2 linked regions of the Schizosaccharomyces pombe genome follow. The protein of the gene in region 1 binds, or shares a complex with, the protein of each later gene. Each region holds a gene or a part of one and is shown in the gene's direction. Other genes may lie near its edges. The genes, in order: spb70 and spp1.

Region 1 (10,655 bases):
AGGTTTAAATTGATAATAAATTAATTAGTTCAACAGTGAAGTAATCCAAATGCAATTGAAACCAAAATCGTTTTTTAATTTAATTAGCAAGATGAGGAATTTAATTGACAAGCAATAAAAAAAGAACGCGACTTGTAAGAAGCGAACACAAGCAAATAGGAAATATCAGTTAAGACGTTAGTCAAAAACTCCCTTTTTAATGGAACGAAAAATTTGACGGGAAGCGCTTCTTATATACAATCACGGATCAACATTTTCGGCGCGATGACGGAACGCTATCCCGGACCCCGACTGTGTAAAAATGGTACAGTCTAGAAGCATCTAGTTAAATATTAAAATAATAAAAAATATTTTAAGAAACATGTTTGAGTAAAAAAAACTTTATATATGCTGTACTAATGCTTCTTTTAAATTTTTTCAAAGCGACCATTTGCCGTGTATATCAGCACATTCAAGGTTTTCCACGCACTATCTCCTTTAGCTTTGACTAGGCGATAGCATTCGTCATATTGCGCTAGAAGGATACTCGCTCGACACGAGGTAGCTGATGTCATTTGAAAGTCATTAAACGATCGCCATTGGCGGGAACCAGTTGCGCGGAGCATGCGGGAAACCAAGGTGATTACGAAGGATGCTAAAGAGCGTAGGGATTAGGCATCGCTATTTAGTATAAAGTAAATTAATGGGTTTCACTAATACAGACAGTGATCTCGGTAGATTTGAACGTTACGTGTGTGTAAAAATGTAATATCGATCTTTGTGGTAAGCTCGCAATATTTTTTAGTGTATAGCATTCCTTGAAAATTAAGATGGATTAACTATACAAGCAGCAATTGCTTTTGAGGTATACAATCAAAAGGCCATCATCCTACCCATTTTATATGAAAGCAAATGAATAGACTGCTGACGGGGCAACACTTAAAGAGTAAAGAATAAATACAATACGTAGGGCTTGCCTATCAAGTATAGATGGTGTAATCCTTTTTTTCTTTTTCGCTTTTTGTTTTTTAGTACTTTTTCACACCTTTATTGAAACATATCTTTATTTTTTTTGATAATCATACTCTATATTTTGTTGCTTTATTTTTAGTGTCTTTTCTTCTAAGCTCTCTTTAGTAGATAAAATATCACCGATTAAAATGATTACAAAAAGTTGGGCTTTTCATTCTCTATATATACATCTGCTATATACGTATTGAGTTTGCTACCAATTCTTAATAGCCAGCCCTCTATTACCACGAAACATCTGATTCAGAAAGTCAAAATCACTTTCTTCCGTGATTAATTGTTTATCTTGCTGCTTCCGCTAAACTGTTACTTTGCAAACCTGACATTCCATAGTATCGGAAAGTTTCTAAAGCTTTTGTAAACAAGACGGTCGTTCAGCCCAGGCTTATTGCTGACGATGTTAGTTGTATTATTAAATAATTTCTTTGATGAAAAAAGAAAAACTCAAACACCATGGGAAACATTTAGTAGTGTATGAGAAGATTTGTTCTTTCACATAGCTTAATGTTCCAGTATATATTTATTGAGTTGAAAACGAAATAATTTTTAACTTAGATATTGTTTTTTTTTTTTAAATTATTGTTTGGCTTCTTATTTTTTTTATTGCATTTTATTTTATTTTGGGTTACTTTTTTTTTTTTTTAAGTTGAAAATTAAACAAATTAGCCAAAAAAAAAAGAAATCGAATATGCTGAATTGAGCTATAGGGTTGGATCCTATTAATTAGCAAAAATTCCTATAGTTTAAAAAAAAAAAAAAAAAAAAACAACGAAAAAAAAAGAGAAAAAAAGAGAAAAAATATAAAACATATTTCTACTTCACTTTGTACAATCCATATTGTCTAGTCAAGTAGTTGCAAGCCTGTTCTGTATAGCGAATGTCAACTACGCAGTTTATAATATTTAACGATACTTAGGATTGCAGTGAGTTTTCCTCGTGATCAATTATATTGCAATAAACAGGTATTTTAAGTAGCAGCTGGGTATATGTATTCTGTTATGTAGGTCTATTGTTAGTTATCACTAATGTAGCTTATAACCGAACTGAGGAACGAAGTTCAGTTGATTTCAGTTTATAGTATTTGAAAAAGTCTTTAATTGTAACTGATATTTATATTATCATAAAAGGTACTGTAGCTGTCTTTTTAACCTACCATGTAAAGTAGATAGAGCAAATAGAACATTACAACATGTGACATATAGTGATACTCGGACACATTGTAACATAGCTTAGTTTCAGCTGACAAAACAAAAAAAATACATACTACACTATTTATCAGTAAACTAATATTACATAGTAAAAGCATCTCGTTAAATGTTTAAGGAGGTTTAAAAAACACATTAAACCACATACTACTGCGTTTCTCCACAGTATCCACGGAGCGTCCCAGTATATCCGAGTTTTTATTAGAAGAGCGATTTAAGTAGTTGCTTTAAGAAGATACACTCTCCTATCCTAAAAAGGTTTACTCATAATTATTGGTGGGTACCTCTTTAAGTGGTTGAACTTTCTGCTATACGTCGTTTTTTCTATCTGTTGTTAGGTTGGAATCGCGTAAACAAATTAAAAAAAGCAACTTCGAAAATCTATCACTGGGCACTTTTGGACTGGGATTGCTAGTACGTGTACTTGTATTTTTTATTCTTATTTATTTCTTTTTCAGGACCCACATCACAGTACAAAATTAGTCACTTCAAATTAATTTGCTCGTAATATTCCCAGGTATTCATTTACTGTCTTTTTTTTTGGGTATCTTGTTTCATTTTCAACTTCATTCAATCTTCAAAAAAATGGAATTTCCTATCGATGATGAGGAATTGCTAGATGAGCGAAATAAACTTCTCCAAATTTGCAATATGGACGAGCAAACAATGTTCTACAAGTGGGAGTCCTGGTGTTTGCAACGAGGAAATACACCAAAACTCGACCTTGACACATTCAAGGCCTTTGCTAAAGACATGAAATTTCAAATGGAGAGGCAGGTAAAAGCCACACTTAAACAGAATCCTGAAAGAAAATCGATAAAGCAAATCCCGGGAATGAATATTGATAGCATGTGCGTACATTAGCAAATGGTTTTAACTAACAAATATCTAGACTAGGTCTACCAGTGAAGACCACCGCATCAGGCGACTCGTTGATGCAAGAGTCTAAACCATCTACCGAAACTTTCGAATTGAATTCCAGTGACGCTGGAAGGGTTTTGGAAGTTTTAAATAAAGAATTAAAAATTGTAACTTCAAAACCTTCAGCTCCATCCAAGCTGGTTATCGTAGCGAATTTTGATCTCAAGGCATTTAATTACAGGATCATGTATCAAAAGCTTTATGATTCTTCTGAAGTTCTGGATGATCGCATTGAGCTTTTTAGTGCATTAACTTGCAGAAAATACAACATAAGTGATGAAGATTTGGCAAATCCTAGCGAACTTACTCAAGAACCCGTTGTAGTTGTAGGACGAATTGTTGTCGAAAGTACCAATTTAGGTGGAAGACTCAACCAAAATAGCATTTTACTTGAAAGTTCAAGACGTCTAGGCGCTGGTGTTCGAGTTCGTTTGAAGGTGGATGATCTACCAAGTTACTCAATATTTCCTGGTCAAATTGTTTCAGTTAAAGGATCCAATCCTAGCGGTAACATGTTTATCGCCAAGGAAATCCTTCCTATACCTCCTTTGCCGTTCCCAAGTTCATCTAAACAGGAGCACGCTACCTTTGTTGCTAATACAAATAATCAGCCAATTTCTATATATATTGCATCTGGACCTTGGTCTCTCCGTGATGATCTCTCTTTTTCCCCTTTAAAATCAATGATTTCATATGTAAATAAAAATCCTGTTGACTTGGTTATTCTATGTGGTCCATTCTTGGATATTAATCATATACTAATACGTACCGGAAACATTACAGGAACGTCTGCGACTTCTTTGGAAGAGTTGTTTAAAGAGCGTGTCACACCCATATTAAGCCAGCTAACTTGTCCTTGTATTTTAATTCCTCACATCAATGATGCTGCTTCAGATCATCCTGCATGGCCACAGGATGCATTTAATCGGGTGGCCTTAGGTCTTCCATCTGTATGTTAAGTTGTATAATAATTTTTATTGACCAATCCATAGAACTTCAAATGCTTCCCGAATCCTTGCATGTTTTCCATTAATGATGTCGTCTTTGGTGTGTCAACCAACGATATACTCCTTCACACATCTAGAGAAGAGTTATTTCGTCTACCTTCTCATGGTAACTTATTTGCACGTTTGGTTTCTCACGTACTTCACCAAAGGCATTTTTATCCCTTATTCCCTGGAGGTTCTCTTGAAAAGTGCAACCCTTCAAACTTAGATATCGCACATCTTAAACTTGGTGAATTCCTAAATACTATGCCGGACATACTAATTTTACCAAGTGATTTACGTTATTTCGTAAAGGTATGTTAATTTTCTACTTTGTTTTAACTAATGTTATAGAACGTTGAAAACGTTGTATCATTGAATCCTGGTAAAGCGACCAAAGGGATTAATTTGGGCACTTTTGCAAAATTAACTATCGCGCCATTAGAGCTCGGGGATAATGGTTCTTCTAATCATTATTCACATCGTGTATGGCTTCGAACCAAGGCAGAAATTTTAAAACTATGATAATTATACTCTCTTTTTCTGCGGAATTTATTGAAAATATAAAAAATTCAGCGTTAAATATCATTGGTTATCATTATTTATGTAGATGTCTACCATAGACCGTTAGAATTAATTAACTTTTCAGCTTTCATTTTCTATCTATCGCTATTTTGGTTTTCTTCAAATTTTGTTTGCAAAATTACTCATATGTTTATGTTGTTAATTTAACCATTTTCCTCAAATGTCTAAGACAATCTCTGATATATCTCAAATCGCTACTCGCGAACTTTTAGTCGTTGTTTTATAGTTGAATGAGTATTCCTTTTATACTGTAGTATTTGAATGTTCAACATTTTTTCGATTTGGACTCTAGTCTTGGTGTTTCACATCTCAACCTACTTAGTCACTACAGTTGACCTCCAACATACATAGGGGAAGTAGTGCAAATGCCTGTTATTCCTCCAGAAAAGCTTGTGTCCTTACAAAAAAATCAGGAAAATATTCGTAATTTTACATTACTTGCTCATGTAGATCATGGAAAGGTATGAATTTTGCAATTTTAAACTTTTTTGAATAGTTGCTAATGATTAATTAAAGACAACCCTTGCAGACAGTTTACTAGCTTCGAATGGAATCATATCTAGCAAACTTGCTGGTACTGTTCGTTTTCTTGATTTTCGCGAAGATGAAATTACGAGAGGTATTACTATGAAGTCTAGCGCCATTTCATTGTTTTTTAAAGTTATAAGCCAAAATGATGAAAAAAGAGTTGAAAAAGATTACCTGATTAATCTTATCGATTCTCCTGGTCATGTTGATTTCAGTTCTGAAGTATCTTCGGCCTCAAGGCTTTGCGATGGTGCATTTGTTTTAGTAGACGCAGTTGAGGGTGTTTGTAGTCAAACAATTACTGTCCTTAGACAAGCATGGATAGACCGTATAAAGGTGATTTTAGTCATTAACAAAATGGATCGTTTGATTACTGAACTGAAACTGTCTCCTATTGAAGCTCATTATCATTTGCTTCGACTTGTTGAACAAGTAAATGCTGTCATTGGCACCTTTTATACTGGTGAGCTTATGCAATTAGCTGATAACGACGAAGTCATCAGTGATGAAGGTATATATTTCGCACCTGAACAGGGAAACGTTGTGTTTGCTAGTGCATACGATGGCTGGGCATTTTGTTTGGACCAATTTTCAGAATTTTACGAAAAAAAGCTTGGATTAAAACAAAAAGCACTTACAAAATGTCTCTGGGGTGATTATTATCTAGACCCTAAAACTAAAAGAGTTCTTCAGCCCAAACATCTTCAAGGCCGACGGTTAAAACCAATGTTTGTACAATTTGTTCTCGAAAACCTCTGGGCTGTTTATGAATCAGCTGTGAGCAATAGGAACCTTGAAAACATTGAGAAAATCATTAAGGCATTAAACATTAAAGTTCTTCCCCGTGACATCAAATCCAAAGACCCTAGAAATTTGCTACTTGCGATTTTTCAACAGTGGTTGCCACTATCAACTGCAATTTTGTTAACAGCGATTAGGGAAATTCCTTCTCCTATTAACGCCCAAGCGAATCGAGCTAGGAAAGTTTTGAGTTCAACTCCTCATTACGAAATGATAGATCCAGATATTACACTGGCTATGGAAAGTTGTGACGCTAGTAAGGAACAGCCTGTTTTGGTATACATAAGTAAAATGGTAGCTTTTTCTGAAAGAGATCTTCCTAATCATCGTCGCAAACAACTTAGTGCTGAGGAGATGAAATTGATACGTTCAAAATTATCTGAATCAATTGAGAGCGGCATAAATACCATTTCTATTGAGGAAAACGTTTCTTCTACCAACTCTGACAATTTAGAAGGTAGCACAACTGACATGGACGATGATAAGGACATTTTAATTGGCTTTGCTAGGATATACAGTGGCACAATTTCAGTTGGACAGGAAGTATATGTTTATGGTCCAAAATATGATCCAGTCAATCCTGAAAAACATATTACCAAGGTAACGGTTGAGTCATTATATTTAATGATGGGACAGGAGCTAGTTTATTTAGAGACAGTTCCCGCTGGTAACGTTTTCGCAATCGGTGGCCTTGCCGGAACGGTTTTGAGAACAGCAACACTATGCTCATCTCCAAATGGTCCTAATTTAGTGGGCGTAACTCAGCAAATGGAGCCCATTGTGCGGGTCGCTTTAGAGCCTGTTCGTCCATTTGAGATGAACAAGTTAGTGACTGGCCTTGACATGCTTAATCAAGCCGATCCATGTGTTCAAATAGCCGTTGAAGAAAATGGAGAGCATGTAATTATGTGTGCCGGAGAGATTCATTTGGAAAGATGTTTAAAAGACCTTAGGGAACGGTTTGCAAAAATTGAAATACAAGCATCTCAGCCACTTGTGCCATATCGGGAAACTACCATAGCTACACCCGACTTATTAGCAAAAAATAAAGAACTGAGTATTGGCTTTGTCACTGCAACGTTACCAGTTGGCGGAGTTACGATTGGAATTACAGTAACACCTCTTTCTGGGTCTGTCGTAGATTTTCTGCTGAAGCACTCTAAAACAATTGAAAATGTTAGCAGCAATTTTTCAAAGAAAAATAGAAACGTTGTTGTCTCGGAATCTTTAACAAAAAGTATGGAGGAAGTGTTGACTCCTGAGAAGTTTTATGAAAGGCTTTCCAAGCTTTTAGAGGAAGAGAACTCTGACTTAGGCGAGCTGAAAAATCATTTGGATAGGTAGGTTATACTAGTGTTCTATTGGTTGATTACTAACAATACTAGTATCATTGCGTTTGGCCCCAAACGAGTGGGTCCTAATATACTTTTTGACAAAACCAAGAAGATGAGAGATTTTCGACGACAAAGCGATGAAACAAAATTAATACCCTCAGACCTTTCTGAATATGTAGTTACTGCATTTCAACTAATAACGCACCAGGGACCATTGTGTGCTGAACCCGTTCAAGGCATTTGTGTGTCAATCGATCAGTTTGACATATCTGATGACTCGGAAGATAGTAAGTTACTTACCATCAATAATCCCCAAATCCCCGGTCAAGTTATTTCGGTAGTGAAAGAGTCTATTAGACATGGATTTTTAGGTTGGTCACCGAGACTTATGCTAGCCATGTATTCTTGCGATGTTCAGGCCACATCTGAAGTCTTGGGTAGGGTATATGGTGTTGTTTCGAAGCGACGAGGACGAGTAATTGATGAAGAAATGAAGGAAGGGACTCCATTTTTTATTGTAAAAGCCTTGATTCCAGTTGTTGAATCCTTTGGATTCGCTGTAGAAATTTTGAAAAGGACATCTGGTGCTGCCTATCCTCAATTAATCTTCCATGGTTTTGAGATGCTAGACGAGAATCCCTTTTGGGTTCCAACTACTGAGGAGGAATTGGAAGATTTAGGCGAGTTAGCCGATCGCGAAAATATTGCTAAGCGCTATATGCTGAACGTTCGAAAAAGGAAAGGCTTATTGGTAGAGCAAAAGATTGTTGAAAAGGCAGAGAAGCAGAGGACACTGAAGCATTAAAGATAGTACTTGATTCCAATTTCTTTAGGAAAACGAAAAGATTGTAATTTGATGACAATGACCTGGTTAGATGGAGGTAATGTTTTTTTTTTTTTTTTTGTTACATTGTTGAGGTAGCTGTGATTTTGAGTTAAGTGTTTCATGAACTATGGGACTAAGATTAGAAGTCTATAAGATGAATAGTGTAAAACGCACATGCAAGATTCTTTAGGCTTCTTTTTGTTATGTTTTAAATTGTTAATACAAATTCAAATTTCCAAAAAATACCGATGTTGTGGGATATGCATAATACAAATAATGATATACTCTACTGCGTAATCGCTAGAAGGTGATAGATTACAGACGCGACGCGCCAAAACACAAACACATCTTTGTACTAATTCAAATTCTAGTATTTTGAAAACTATTCGCCTTAATGTTTTTTGACGGATGGAAAATGCAAAAGATTTTATAGGAGAAACAATAAAGGAGAATGGATTACTTACCATTGAAGATGATGGTAGCAGTAGTTCAGATGAAGAAGCTACTTTAAAACGACGATTGGCAGGCCCTTCTGTTCTCAAGTCAGGACAGGAAAATGTTAATCAAAAAAAGATTAACGAGATAATTTACGAAGCTTCCAAAGGAAGTAAGTTTTTTGAAGCCGAACAAAAACGAGACCGAGAACTTCGTTTAAGAATAGAAAAGGTTCAAGTTGAGGTAGAAAAATACCAATCAAAATTAAGGTTTGATAAAGCGTTTCAAAGAGAGTGGACCATTAGACAAGAAAGTGTGGATACTACTGTTGAGGATTTTAGGGCTAAACGAGATTTGACCCAAATAATTGTTCATGTTGATTGTGATGCGTTTTATGCATCAATAGAGGAACTTAAGAATCCAAAACTTAAGTCTTTACCAATGGCAGTCGGGAAGAGTGTTTTGTGTAAGTATTCGAATCTGACTGAAACTAATGCTGAATAAGGTACTGCTAATTATGTGGCCAGAAAGTTTGGAGTTCGATCAGCGATGCCAGAATTTATTGCTAGAAAGATTTGTCCTGATCTAGTTGTAATTCCGTTAAATCTTTCTGAATATGCAATAAAATCTAAAGAAATTCAGAATGTGCTTGCTCAGTATGATTCGAATTTGTGTCCTGCAAGCATTGATGAATTTTATATGAACTTGACTTCACATTTACGTCTCCAAGAGCTTGCATTTACTGTAGAAAACATAACGATGGTGGTTGAGAAAATCAGGAAACAAGTGCATGAAGAAACAGGAGTTACAGTCAGTTGTGGTATTGCAGCAAACAAGTTGTTAGCCAAAATTGCAAGCAATAAGAGAAAACCAAATAATCAGTTTTTTATCCCATTTGACGAGATTGGGATTTCAAAATTCATGAATGACTTGCCTGTTAGAGAGGTAAGCAGTCTTTCTATATCTGGTTAAGCATTCTTTAACATTACAGGTTTCTGGTATTGGTAGAGTTTTAGAGCAGCAATTACTTGGTTTGGAAATTAAGACGTGTGGGGATATTCAAAGAAATTTGGTGATTTTATCTTATATCTTTTTACCTAAAAGTTTCCAAAACTTGTTGAGATGTAGCTATGGATTTGGAACTACAATTTTAGACGAATACGGTGAGAGCAAACGAAAAACAATTGGGTCTGAAGCTACATTTTCCAGCAATCTTAGTTCTCCGTCAATAATCGAGTACAAGCTCAGACTTCTTGTACAAAATGTATCTGAAAATTTACAAAAGCGCGGATTAGTCACAAACTCGATCGCTATAAAGTATAAAACAAGCGAATTTCAAGTTCATACCAAGCAAAAGAGCATAGGTCAATTCATTCATTCAGAATCTGATTTATTGAAACCAGCTTTGCAATTGTTGCGTCAATCTTACCCTATGACTATTCGTTTATTAGGAGTCAGAGCAACAAAGCTGGTTAGTAAATCGCGTTGTTTGGCCATGCAACTTGTAAGTCAAGCAAATATACTGCTAGCAATATGCTAATTATTACTAGAAATTCCAAAGCCAGAATACCGTTCCTTGTCCCGTTTGCCAGAAAAATATTGAAAACGAATTAGGTATACTGAACCAACATGTCGACCTTTGCTTAAATGTCGAAACAGTTAAATCCTTGATCAATACCGATCATACTGCAAATCCTACAATCAAAAAAAGAAAATCAAACACATTAGACACATATTTCTTGGAATAAAATTTATTAATCTTGACCTTAAAGCAACATTAAATAAGTTTTGGATTGCGAATCATTGCGCAACTAGCTTATGGTAAAAGTATTTGACAGTTTGTATAGACCAAGTAAAACTTTTAGAGAAAGAATGTCAAAGACAACTATTTTTAGATAAAGTAACCATGCTATTTTACAAAATAACATTGCGGTACTGAAAAATATTACATAAATGTCAACGTCAATTGTAAAGTCATCGTCAAACTCAAAGATTGTAAGGATAGGCCGATTTAAAGACTTTTAGC
Region 2 (10,036 bases), on another chromosome or scaffold:
GGGTACTTTTCAGTCAAGGCAATTTGCGTACGAGTAGCCTCAGCATATGAAAACGCATTCACCATTTCACTTTCAGTACGAGCCAGTTGTGCAGATTTCTCGAAATATTCAAGGGCTTCACGAGCTTTACCTTGTTGCAATAGGAATTGAGCCATACTGGCAATTGCAATATCACATTCGGGATCAGCCGATAGAGCCTGTCGACAAAGATTTTCAGCTTGAGATATATCTTTCTTCCATTGGAATACAGCAAGAGCCTTATTAATCAAAGGCATTGCACTCATAATTGTTAGATGTTCTCTCTTCTCAAGCTCAATTGCATGATCAAAGTTCTTGACAGCATCATCGAACTTTTGTTGATCTAAGAGTATTTCACCAAAGTAATTATAAACTTCGCTTGAATTAGGGAACCTCTTTTTACAATCTTCAAATGTCTTCATTGATTCCGCAATTGCATGAGTCTTATATTGAGCTACTCCAAGTTGGATATGGCTATAAATAAAAGAGTCATCCAATGCAATAGACTTTTGATAATCAGAAATGGCTTCTGCAAACTCACCAGAAACAAACCTAACTTGTGCACGATGATAATAAAGATCCGAATCGGTTTTATCAACAGATTCTGCATCATTCAGTACCTTCCACATTTTTTCATTATCATTTTCATCTAAATAAGCGGCTGAGAGACGAATATATGGTTGAATGAACTTGCGATCTAATTTAATAGCTGCATTAAAATTTTCCATCGAACCTTTAGAGTCACCAGATACAAATTTAAAAGTACCAACTAGATTATGAGTGCGAGCATTAACCGAAGGAGATGAGAAAGATCCCAGACAGGATTCCTTTGCTTTATCGTACGAAAGTTGATATTCACCCTTTTCTAAATATTCATAAGCCTCTGCTAAAGCAGCATCACCGTCAAATTTATTATCAAACAAAGGTTTTGGTTGAGCATGGAATGAATCGAGATAAGTCTGGATAAAGCTGGCAGCTGGCAATTTAGGAGGACGTTCCTTTAAAAGAGCAGACGACTTCTTTTCAGCAACCTTTTTTAACAATCGTTCAACGGTAGCAGTCATACTCTCATTAGCGAAGCCATCGAAAATGCAGGAAACGGTACTATCCATAAGGGCTTCATCCAATTTACCAAGTTGCTCATAAGCAGCAGAACGACGATTTAACGCTTTCACATAGCTTGAATCAAGTGAAAGAGCTTCACTTGTATCCTTAATTACTTGCTCAAAATCACCGATGGCTGCATAACAGGCTGCACGATTAGAGAAGAAAATAGGGTCATGAGAGCAGGTGATAGCCTGAGTATAATAGTCAATAGCATTAGCATATTCCTTTTGTCCATAAGCCTTATTACCAAGAGTCTTTAACTCGGCAGCCAATTTTGCCCTTTCCTCCTTCGTCATAGATTTTACCGATTCCTCAGTAGCAATTTTATCGACAGAAGAATCGCCGACCTTCTTGGCTTTAACCTTTTTTTTATTCTTCTTCTTCTTTTTTGCAGCAGCAGCAGCAGCGGCTGCTGTTTCAACATCCTTTCCAGTTTCTGAGCTTTTAAGATCCTCTTCTTTTACGACCTTTGCAGCTTCATTTTTTCCTTCATTAACTTTGGATTCAGCCTTATCTTGATGAGCCTTAAGTTTTTTAGAACGTTTATGACTAGCTTTTTTCTGTTGTACATGATAAACACCCCCAACTGTAGCAAAAACGGCAACAGCACCAATAGTGTAAACAAATGTCCTATGGCGCCTTACAAATGCTGAAACGGAATTTAAAACTCCAGAAGACACAATTGCCTTACCATTTTCTGCATTGGATATACCAGACATGGTATTGGTTTTGGCTAGGTTGGTACCGATTCATGACCACTATACTTCAGCAAAGTGAATGCTACCTTATTGCATTGCTAACGAACTGCAAAGCACATTCATTGACAAAGGTTAAGGAACTAAAACTTGATTACGAAGTGATAGAAAACAAAAAAAGAAACGGTGAACAGCAGTTTAATAGGAGCTATTATTATGAAATGGTGATAATTTGCACAGGTGCTAGTTTTATTAATTCTACTCAATTCCGCATCAAGTAGGAATTTAAAAAAAACTGCTCCAGCAGTGACTTGAACACTGGGCCTCTTGCTTACTAGGCAAGCGCTCTACCACTGAGCTACAAGAGCTGATGTTATCCCCGTATAAAATACAATATATAGAGAGCGTAGTAAAGAAGTTTACCTTAAACAATGAAACGTATTGACTGTATTTGTTAATTACACAATGCACTTCTTTTGGATTCTGATTATCTAGAGCCCTTTTATTTGTCTTTAAAAAGATTTGTTAACTTGATTGTAGGTTGAACTATGTTTTGAATACAATTGAAGAGTTGCGACCAAAATCTATTACAGTTGTTGCCTGTATCTTATAAGCTATCTATTATTTAAAGCATGGTTTCTTAAGTTGTAAATGACATTTGGAAATGACTATTCATGTTTTGAAGTTTAGCATCAACGTATGGTGTTTAGGTTGTCTAAAAATTTAGTTAAGAGGAAATTTGGCATCGCTGTCCCCTAAGGATGAATAAGCTATGCAAATCCATGTAAAGTAATGATGATATTCAGCTTTCATGTATTCCTCATTTCAATAGATCCAAACTTATTTGAAGCTGTTTTTTTATTTGTCTTTCTCGCCAGCTTCAATATTGAAGGTTCGATTTTTTTTGTACTTCTTCTTTCCTTACGTCCTCATGATATTCGTATATCAAAACGTTCCAGTCTTAGATTTAATGTTGGACGAATGCCTACGTAAAAATATAAAACGTTTATCGTTCGATAGTAACTAATTTGATTTTACCCGAAGATTAAGAACAAGAAATATATGATTCATTCAAACTTTTATATTTCCAAAATTTTTTTAACAGGATACCACAAACTCATGATGTATTATTTCATTTAAATCTCAAAAACCCACAAAATCTATTTCCAGGTTTTATTGAATGCATGATTTATTAAATATATATACCTCTTTAACATTCATTGAAAAAGTGTATATCCTATTAAGGAAGATCAGAAAGTATGTGTTTTTTTAAATACAACAGCAAAGTTCCGATTGACAAATTATATGTTAGCTTCTGTGACGCCGAAATTTACGTTTTTTTAATTTGTAAGAGGAATAATTCTGGCTTACTTGTTTTCCAATAACAAGCCCGTTTCTCATAATCTTTTTATTTTGTCGTTCACTCTGCAGATCTAAAAATGGTGACGAATCTTTGCTAGCAGTTGTATCTTCATTGTCGTCAATGCCATTTTCCGCATCTTCGTCTATTTCAGGAAGACCTTCTAAATGACTTTTGGAAAGATTCATTGAAGGGGGCACTAAAACGTTAGTTCAGGTACAAACAGGAGAAAACCTTACATTTAACAAGACGATTTTGTCGTTTAATTTTTTTCTTCATAGGTTGTGATATGTCTCTATCTACAAGGCTTTCTGAAGATGAGCTACTAAAGCTTTCAAACTCCTGCAATATCTTCTCTTCATTTGATCCGTAATCATCTTCAATATCTTTTAACTCACGAAGCATTTCACTGAGACTTTTTCGGCATGGCGCATTAACTCGAAGTAAGTTAGGAGATGTATAAACTTGAAGGCGATATGAAGAGGGGGTTTCAAGAACGGTGGGAGTATGTTGAGCCACAGGTTCGGGATTTTTTGATGGAGTAGTCGGTATCATAGTTGATGAAATTTCACTAGTGTTATGTTTTATATCCGAAATTTGATCCACATGAGAATCTGCAATGGGAGACATGTCTTCAAGAAGGTTAAGTACTCGACGTGACAACTGTGGAGTAGGACCTAAAAGACTTTTATCCACAGTTTTCGGAGTAACCTGTAGATAATCATTTCGGGGCGCTTTAGGACTCTCGTTCGCTTCAGTTTCAGCACGCTGTTTTGTAGGAGTTTGAAACTTAAAGTCGACCTTTGTTTTTGCTTTTTTAGGGGTAATGGAGGATTCGCGTTTCAACTCGTAGTATTGCTTATATAAAAGCGCTAAAAAAGTTCGTTAGTTTGCTTCAAAAATTCAAGTGTATCTTTGGCTTACATACCTATTTCTGGTTGTTTCTTCACATCCTCCTTAGAAGGTTTGCAATTGTTCGTATGGACGTACTCATGTTCCCACTTCTTTAAGAGCGCTTTTATACTAGATATTTGTTTAGTTCGTGATTCATCGTGCATGATTTGCCAATTAATGCACTGCCTGGACCCAATTTCAATTTTGTAGTGTTCGATTCAAACAACTGCAAAAACAAACTCAAAACAAAAAGAGAGGCTAATCTACATAAACATATATTTCTTCTAATTCTATATGTGGAGAAATACCATTGCACAGAGTTTGATACGTATCTCGAAATGCAAAGTTGAAATGTTAATTATGCTTTAAAAGTAAAGTAGATGCACTAATGAATGCTCCATTTTACTGCTGAATGTTTACGCATACGTTAAGCAGTTTTTTAAATTTAAATAACGTATAACGTTTAAGTACGCTGTCGTTTCCTTTTGATTTATGGTTGAGCTGTATGTAAATAACCTTTGTTTTTAGCTAAACTTATTACAATATGACTGTTCAAATCGATGAATTGGACGACAAAGATTTGGATGAGATAATTGCAAACGGAACACTTGATGGCGCGTAAGTGTGAATACTGAACAATCTTAACTATGGACTCGATTGAGCCTCTAAAATAATGAAAATTCTCTAACAATTTTCTTATAGTAAACAGGGAGCTGTGGATTCAGAGACGATGATTCAATATTATCGCCATCTTTTTCCGTGGAAATATTTATTTCAATGGTTAAATCATGGTCCGGTAGTCACTAATGATTTTGCTCATCGGGAGTTCGCGTTCACACTTCCTAATGATGCTTATATTCGTTATTTATCTTTTTCAAATTGGGAAGAGTTAAAAAAGGAAGCTTTAAATTTATGCCCAAGCCGATTTGAAGTTGGACCCGTTTATAGTGCCAATCCCAGGGACAGGAAAACAATAAGGAAGTCAACATTTCATCCGCTTAAAAAGGAACTCGTTTTTGATATAGATATGACTGACTACGATGATGTACGAACCTGCTGCTCAAAAACAAATATATGCGAAAAATGCTGGCCATTTATTACGATCGCAGTTCAAGTTTTAGATATTTGTTTTCATGAGGACTTTGGATTTAAACACATATTGTGGGTATACTCTGGTCGAAGAGGTATTCACGCTTGGATTTGTGACGAAATTGCTTGTTCTTTAGACGATCGGTCTCGTAGAATGATTGCCAGTTATTTACAGGTTGTAGTAGGTAATCCTCAAGGTGGCGTACGACTTATTAATAACTTAAAAAGACCCCTTCACCCACATTTGACTCGTTCTCTCAACATTCTCAAATCGGCCTTTGTAAAAATTGTCCTTGAAGACCAAGATCCGTGGGCTTCTAAAGAAGGAGCCGAAAACCTTTTGAAATTACTACCAGACAAGGATTTAGCATCTGCTCTTCGTAAAAAATGGGAGGTTGATCCTGAACGATCTAGCAAAAATAAATGGTCCGACATTGACACTGTCTTAGCATCTGGTTCTATTGCCTCTATATCTCCTTCAGTAATTGCGATTGCCAAGCAGGACATTGTTTTAACCTATTTGTATCCAAGATTGGATGTTGAGGTTTCTAGACATTTAAACCATTTGCTAAAATCTCCATTTTGCGTCCACCCCGGAACTAGTCGTGTTTGTGTTCCCATAGATATAGAGAGGATGGATTCTTTTAATCCTTTGAAAGTACCCACTGTGAATGATCTTTTGCAAGAGTTGGATAAAAATTCCCAAAATGATAACGGCCATGGTCCAACAATGGAAACTAATACAACAGAAAACCAAAAAGATAATGCTAGGGGACAATCAAACAAGGGGCATGGCTTTTCAACTTCTCTCAATCCTTATACGCTGTACTTTAAATCGTTCAGTAGCCAGCTTTTTAAAGAAACAGTAGGAAATAAAAGAAAACATGAGAATTTGGAATTTTAAAATCGTATTTCAACAATCGATTCAAGCTTTAACTAAAAATTTGGGCATACATTTACTCATGAAAGGATGGAAGCTCTGACTTCTATTTACGTGGAGCATATTGTTTTCCGTTAAATCGACAGTAATAATATATTTTTTAATACCTCTTTATTTATCCTTTTTTGCTAAATACATTATAATAATAAAAACCAAAACAAATCAAAAGCATAACTAGTATGATTTTAAACTAGCGATTTAATTTTCTTTTTCCAATTCACTATCAGATTGATTTGACTGAGACCTAGTATCCTCAGAAACATCAAACGATTCGTCGCTTTTAAGCAAAATTCCCTTTCTTTTTGGAATGACCTCCATGAATGCCTTTTCCCAATCTCTGTACTCTAACCAAAGAGATAATATTTCAAAGACCTGATTAACCGTAAGTATTTTCCTATCCGTAATTTTAATGTATTCATCAATTGGAAGCTTTGCAGTTTTGATCCCTTGCTCAGACGCTTTATTTTGACATAAATTTTTGTACCGATTCTTGTCGACAATCGCACCAATAATATAAATCTTGTCTTCATCGAGTTCGGTGATGGTGTTATCTGAATCAGCAGAAAGATATACTAATTTTTCTTTTTGGGATTCAAATTCCTCTAAATAAGACTTAGTAGTTGGGTTGTATCGTTTCCAATTATTTTGTTGCCCCTTTAGCACAAAATCTTGTCTGGTTTTCAAACGTCCACCAAAGTTGGTAGCAAAAAGTTCTACAGGATGTAAAGCTGTACGATTTGCAGAATGACATCTAGTAACCTGTTGACATAAAGAGTTGATTTCTTTATCGTTCATCAGATCATCAAATGCACAATCCAAAACAATTCGGATACTACTAGGAACGACCTTTCCTAGTCTGATCCTCTTCTTTTGACTTTTAACTACTTCGCCAGCTTCAATTTTTCGCTTTCTTTCCTCTTTTCGTAATCGCTTTTTTTCCCGGCGCATCTCTGCTCGCTTTTCACGACCTGCATCCCACTCTTGCTGTCTTTTTAATCTTTTTAATGCAGATTTGCTAAGAACGGGTTGCTCTTGAGTTTCATTTTTAGAAACGTCAGCTTCAGAAGTATTTGTGTCATCTTTACCAATATCTAAAGCGTCTTTGTTTTCCATAATTTCCCAACTTTATTGCAGTCAAAATATAGCCTAAATTTATCTAGTTATATCGTTATTTTGAACCTAGCCAGGCTGTTCATCTAATGGAAAAAGTAAGAGTGTTGTGAAGTATAAAAAGTTGGTAACTACGCCAATCTCGCAATTATTAACTTTGGGTAATAAAGGGATTCAGGAAGTCGAAAATAAAAAAATTTTGCAAAATTGTATTATTTACAAACTTCGACAAAACAAGCTTTGAAAAATGGCAACAAACGATCAAAAAATCGATAACAAATCGACGGTATCAAATATGCTTGAAAATCCTATGTTTCAGACATTTTCAAAAAAAGAAACAGAAAAGCCATCACTATCTGAATATATGGAACAACTTACTTCAGAGTTTGGAGAAGAGCTAGACAATTTAAGGCAAAAGGAAATTTTTGATCATAACAAACTACAATTGCTTATTGAAAGTTTGCGTGCTGGTCACAAAATTTATGAATAATGGTTTATATAACTTAGCAAAAAACAGACCTGTATTATTCTATTAAAAAAGATAAGCTTGCGGTGCTAATCTTGATCCAACTTATCGTCTTCGTTCAAAAAACCATCTTCGGATGCTGTATAAAACTCGTTATCAGAGATTTCGACAAAAGTAAATGTTTTTTCTATTTCCTCAAAACTTCTCGTATAGAAGTCAGAGGAAGAAACTTTGTTCGAATATGGGGATTCGCTAGGAGCATCTTCGGGTTGTTTATTCGATTCCGCGTTTTTCTGGGCTTCTTTTGCGTGCTTTTTTATTTCTTGGTTCATTTTCCTTAAATTTTTTTTATGTTTTTTGCTGTTTTCATGGTTCTCCAATTGATTTTGTGATCGAAAGTTCTTGTTACAAACCATACACATTATTGGATTTGAATTCACAATTTCTTTGCTCAAAGATTCATCATCGCTGGATGTTTCTTCCTGATCGATTATTGTCCAAGACGCAATTGATTGGTTTTTAAAAGTTTCCTGGTACTGACGCCGATCACGTTCACTTTGCTTTCGCGATGCTTCTTGTAGGGAGTTGTATCTTTCTCCATCGCTTAGTTTCACAACGTTTTTTCTCCGTGGATCAAGATCACATGCTTTTCCTATTAAATCTCTGACAAGTTCGTTATATCGCTGAATGCAGTATTGTATCTGCCTTTGATTTTGTCTCTTCATTAATCGCCGTGTAGCTGCATCACTTTCCTCTTCTTCATTATATAGAGCTTCCCATTCAAAAGATTTTTTCGTTGAAAATCTTAGCCATTTTTGATAAATAGGTTTGGCATACGTCCAAAGCCAAGTTGTGTCCCCTAAAGTTGGAAGGTCGTCTGTGGAACCCGCTATTTTTTCGTCTTGTCGCAGTCTTTCAACGAACGCTGAGGTGCTTTCAAAAGGGATTTTCTCAATTGTTTGTAGATGCTGCAAAACGTCTTCAATTTGTACAGAATATTGGTTTCTTAGATAGTCTTTTTCATGCCATTTTCGTTTATCATCATTAGAGAGAATATTGTATGCAGCGTTTATTTGGGAAAATATTTCGTTATAGTCTTCAATGCCCGGATTTCTATCGGGATGATATTGCAAAGCTAATTTTCTGTTATGATTAGTAAAGATACACAAAGGCGATCAATTCTTCACAACTTAAACGATTATGTTTTAATCACAGATCGAAAAGCTGTAAATTTATATTCTATGTTGATTGATTAAGTTGAAAACAAGTTTTCATACCGGTAATTTGCTTTAATCTCTTGCAAGTCAGAGTCATGATTCACTTGCAAGATTTCATAGCAATCCATATCCTTAAAAGGGTTATTCATGATTGGTGATAAATAATTTGCATAAAATCATAAGTTAACCAGTAAAAGACTTATATAAAGTAGCTTCAAAGACAAAATTCCAAGGCCGAGGAGTGGAATGAATTATCAACCGCAATTGAGATTGCTTGTGATAAACTAACAATTCAATTCTACAATTGAAATACAAAAAAAGCAAAAAAATTGAGAGTTGCCCGTTCAATCGCCAAAATACAATACCTTCAGTACGTTCTATGTAAAATGGTGATCTTTCTCACAAACCGGCGACAATAGCTCCCAACTGTGTTTCAAAAAATGTAGAAAGAGACAAAAAGGCGAATTGACGAGAAACAACGAATCAAAATACTGTTAATGCTAAAAAATAAAGTAATATGCTATGGGTAAATTAAATCTGTGTTGACAAACCCGCAAATACATAATATGGTGTGGTCCCTCACGTCTCGCCAATGCTGAAGTAAATAAATACAACAAGCGAAACATAAGTTAAAGTTGTGTACGAAATCATTTGAACCCTAAATAAATTTGTGTTCTATACATGCAAACTTTAGACAGTTTGAAATCCGAAAAATCACTTTTGTAAAAAATGAATATATGAATAAATATATATATTAACATATATTGATATATGTATAATCTTAATACAGTTTACAAACTACTGTCTTCTTAATTAAGAAAACATGGTTCTCATGAAAACTTATATTGTTATTTAAGGTCTTGCTGCTATATATGCATTAGCAAAATGCACATTTCCAAAAAATGAAGTTAAAATTATCAGTTTACAAAAGACATTGAACTAAAGATCAAATTTTTCCACAACCGAATTAAAATGTAAGATTGTGTTTTTTAGAAGAAGCCAATGCGCTAATAATAATGCCATGCTTGCATTGCTTAAAAACAAACGAACTTCTTGCCTTCATGTAGCAAGGCTATTATCACGAATTTTCATGTTAATTTCGCTATGAATGCTTGGTCTTTTCTGAGTTAATCAATACTA

The links.
Region 2: spb70 (region 1) and spp1 share a complex: the UniProt entries of both Schizosaccharomyces pombe proteins name them as parts of the alpha DNA polymerase complex.

The regions. Positions count from the first base shown.
Region 1 is NC_003421.2:284,842-295,496, forward strand, and holds spb70 (DNA polymerase alpha B-subunit), read left to right. Parts: upstream 1-2,387; 5' UTR 2,388-2,798; coding exon 2,799-3,064; exon of another isoform or gene 3,065-3,105; coding exon 3,106-4,084; exon of another isoform or gene 4,085-4,126; coding exon 4,127-4,435; exon of another isoform or gene 4,436-4,474; coding exon 4,475-4,645; 3' UTR 4,646-4,863; downstream 4,864-10,655. Other genes in the region: GTPase Ria1, read left to right, coding at 5,071-5,166, 5,222-7,374, 7,420-8,173; kpa1 (DinB-like DNA repair polymerase kappa), read left to right, coding at 8,603-9,095, 9,135-9,574, 9,621-10,133, 10,180-10,377; oligosaccharyltransferase delta subunit Swp1, read right to left, coding at 10,641-10,655. UniProt on the Schizosaccharomyces pombe protein: Accessory subunit of the DNA polymerase alpha complex (also known as the alpha DNA polymerase-primase complex) which plays an essential role in the initiation of DNA synthesis.
Region 2 is NC_003424.3:2,425,200-2,435,235, reverse strand, and holds spp1 (DNA primase catalytic subunit Spp1), read left to right. Parts: upstream 1-4,600; 5' UTR 4,601-4,618; coding exon 4,619-4,692; intron 4,693-4,776; coding exon 4,777-6,067; 3' UTR 6,068-6,260; downstream 6,261-10,036. Other genes in the region: TOM complex subunit Tom70, read right to left, coding at 1-1,844; drc1 (DNA replication preinitiation complex assembly protein), read right to left, coding at 3,129-3,379, 3,420-4,052, 4,109-4,238; tRNA m(1)G methyltransferase Trm10, read right to left, coding at 6,302-7,216; ribosome assembly protein Rsa3, read left to right, coding at 7,461-7,703; epr1 (ATPase co-chaperone protein), read right to left, coding at 7,769-8,822, 8,957-9,045. UniProt on the Schizosaccharomyces pombe protein: Catalytic subunit of the DNA primase complex and component of the DNA polymerase alpha complex (also known as the alpha DNA polymerase-primase complex - primosome/replisome) which play an essential role in the initiation of DNA synthesis.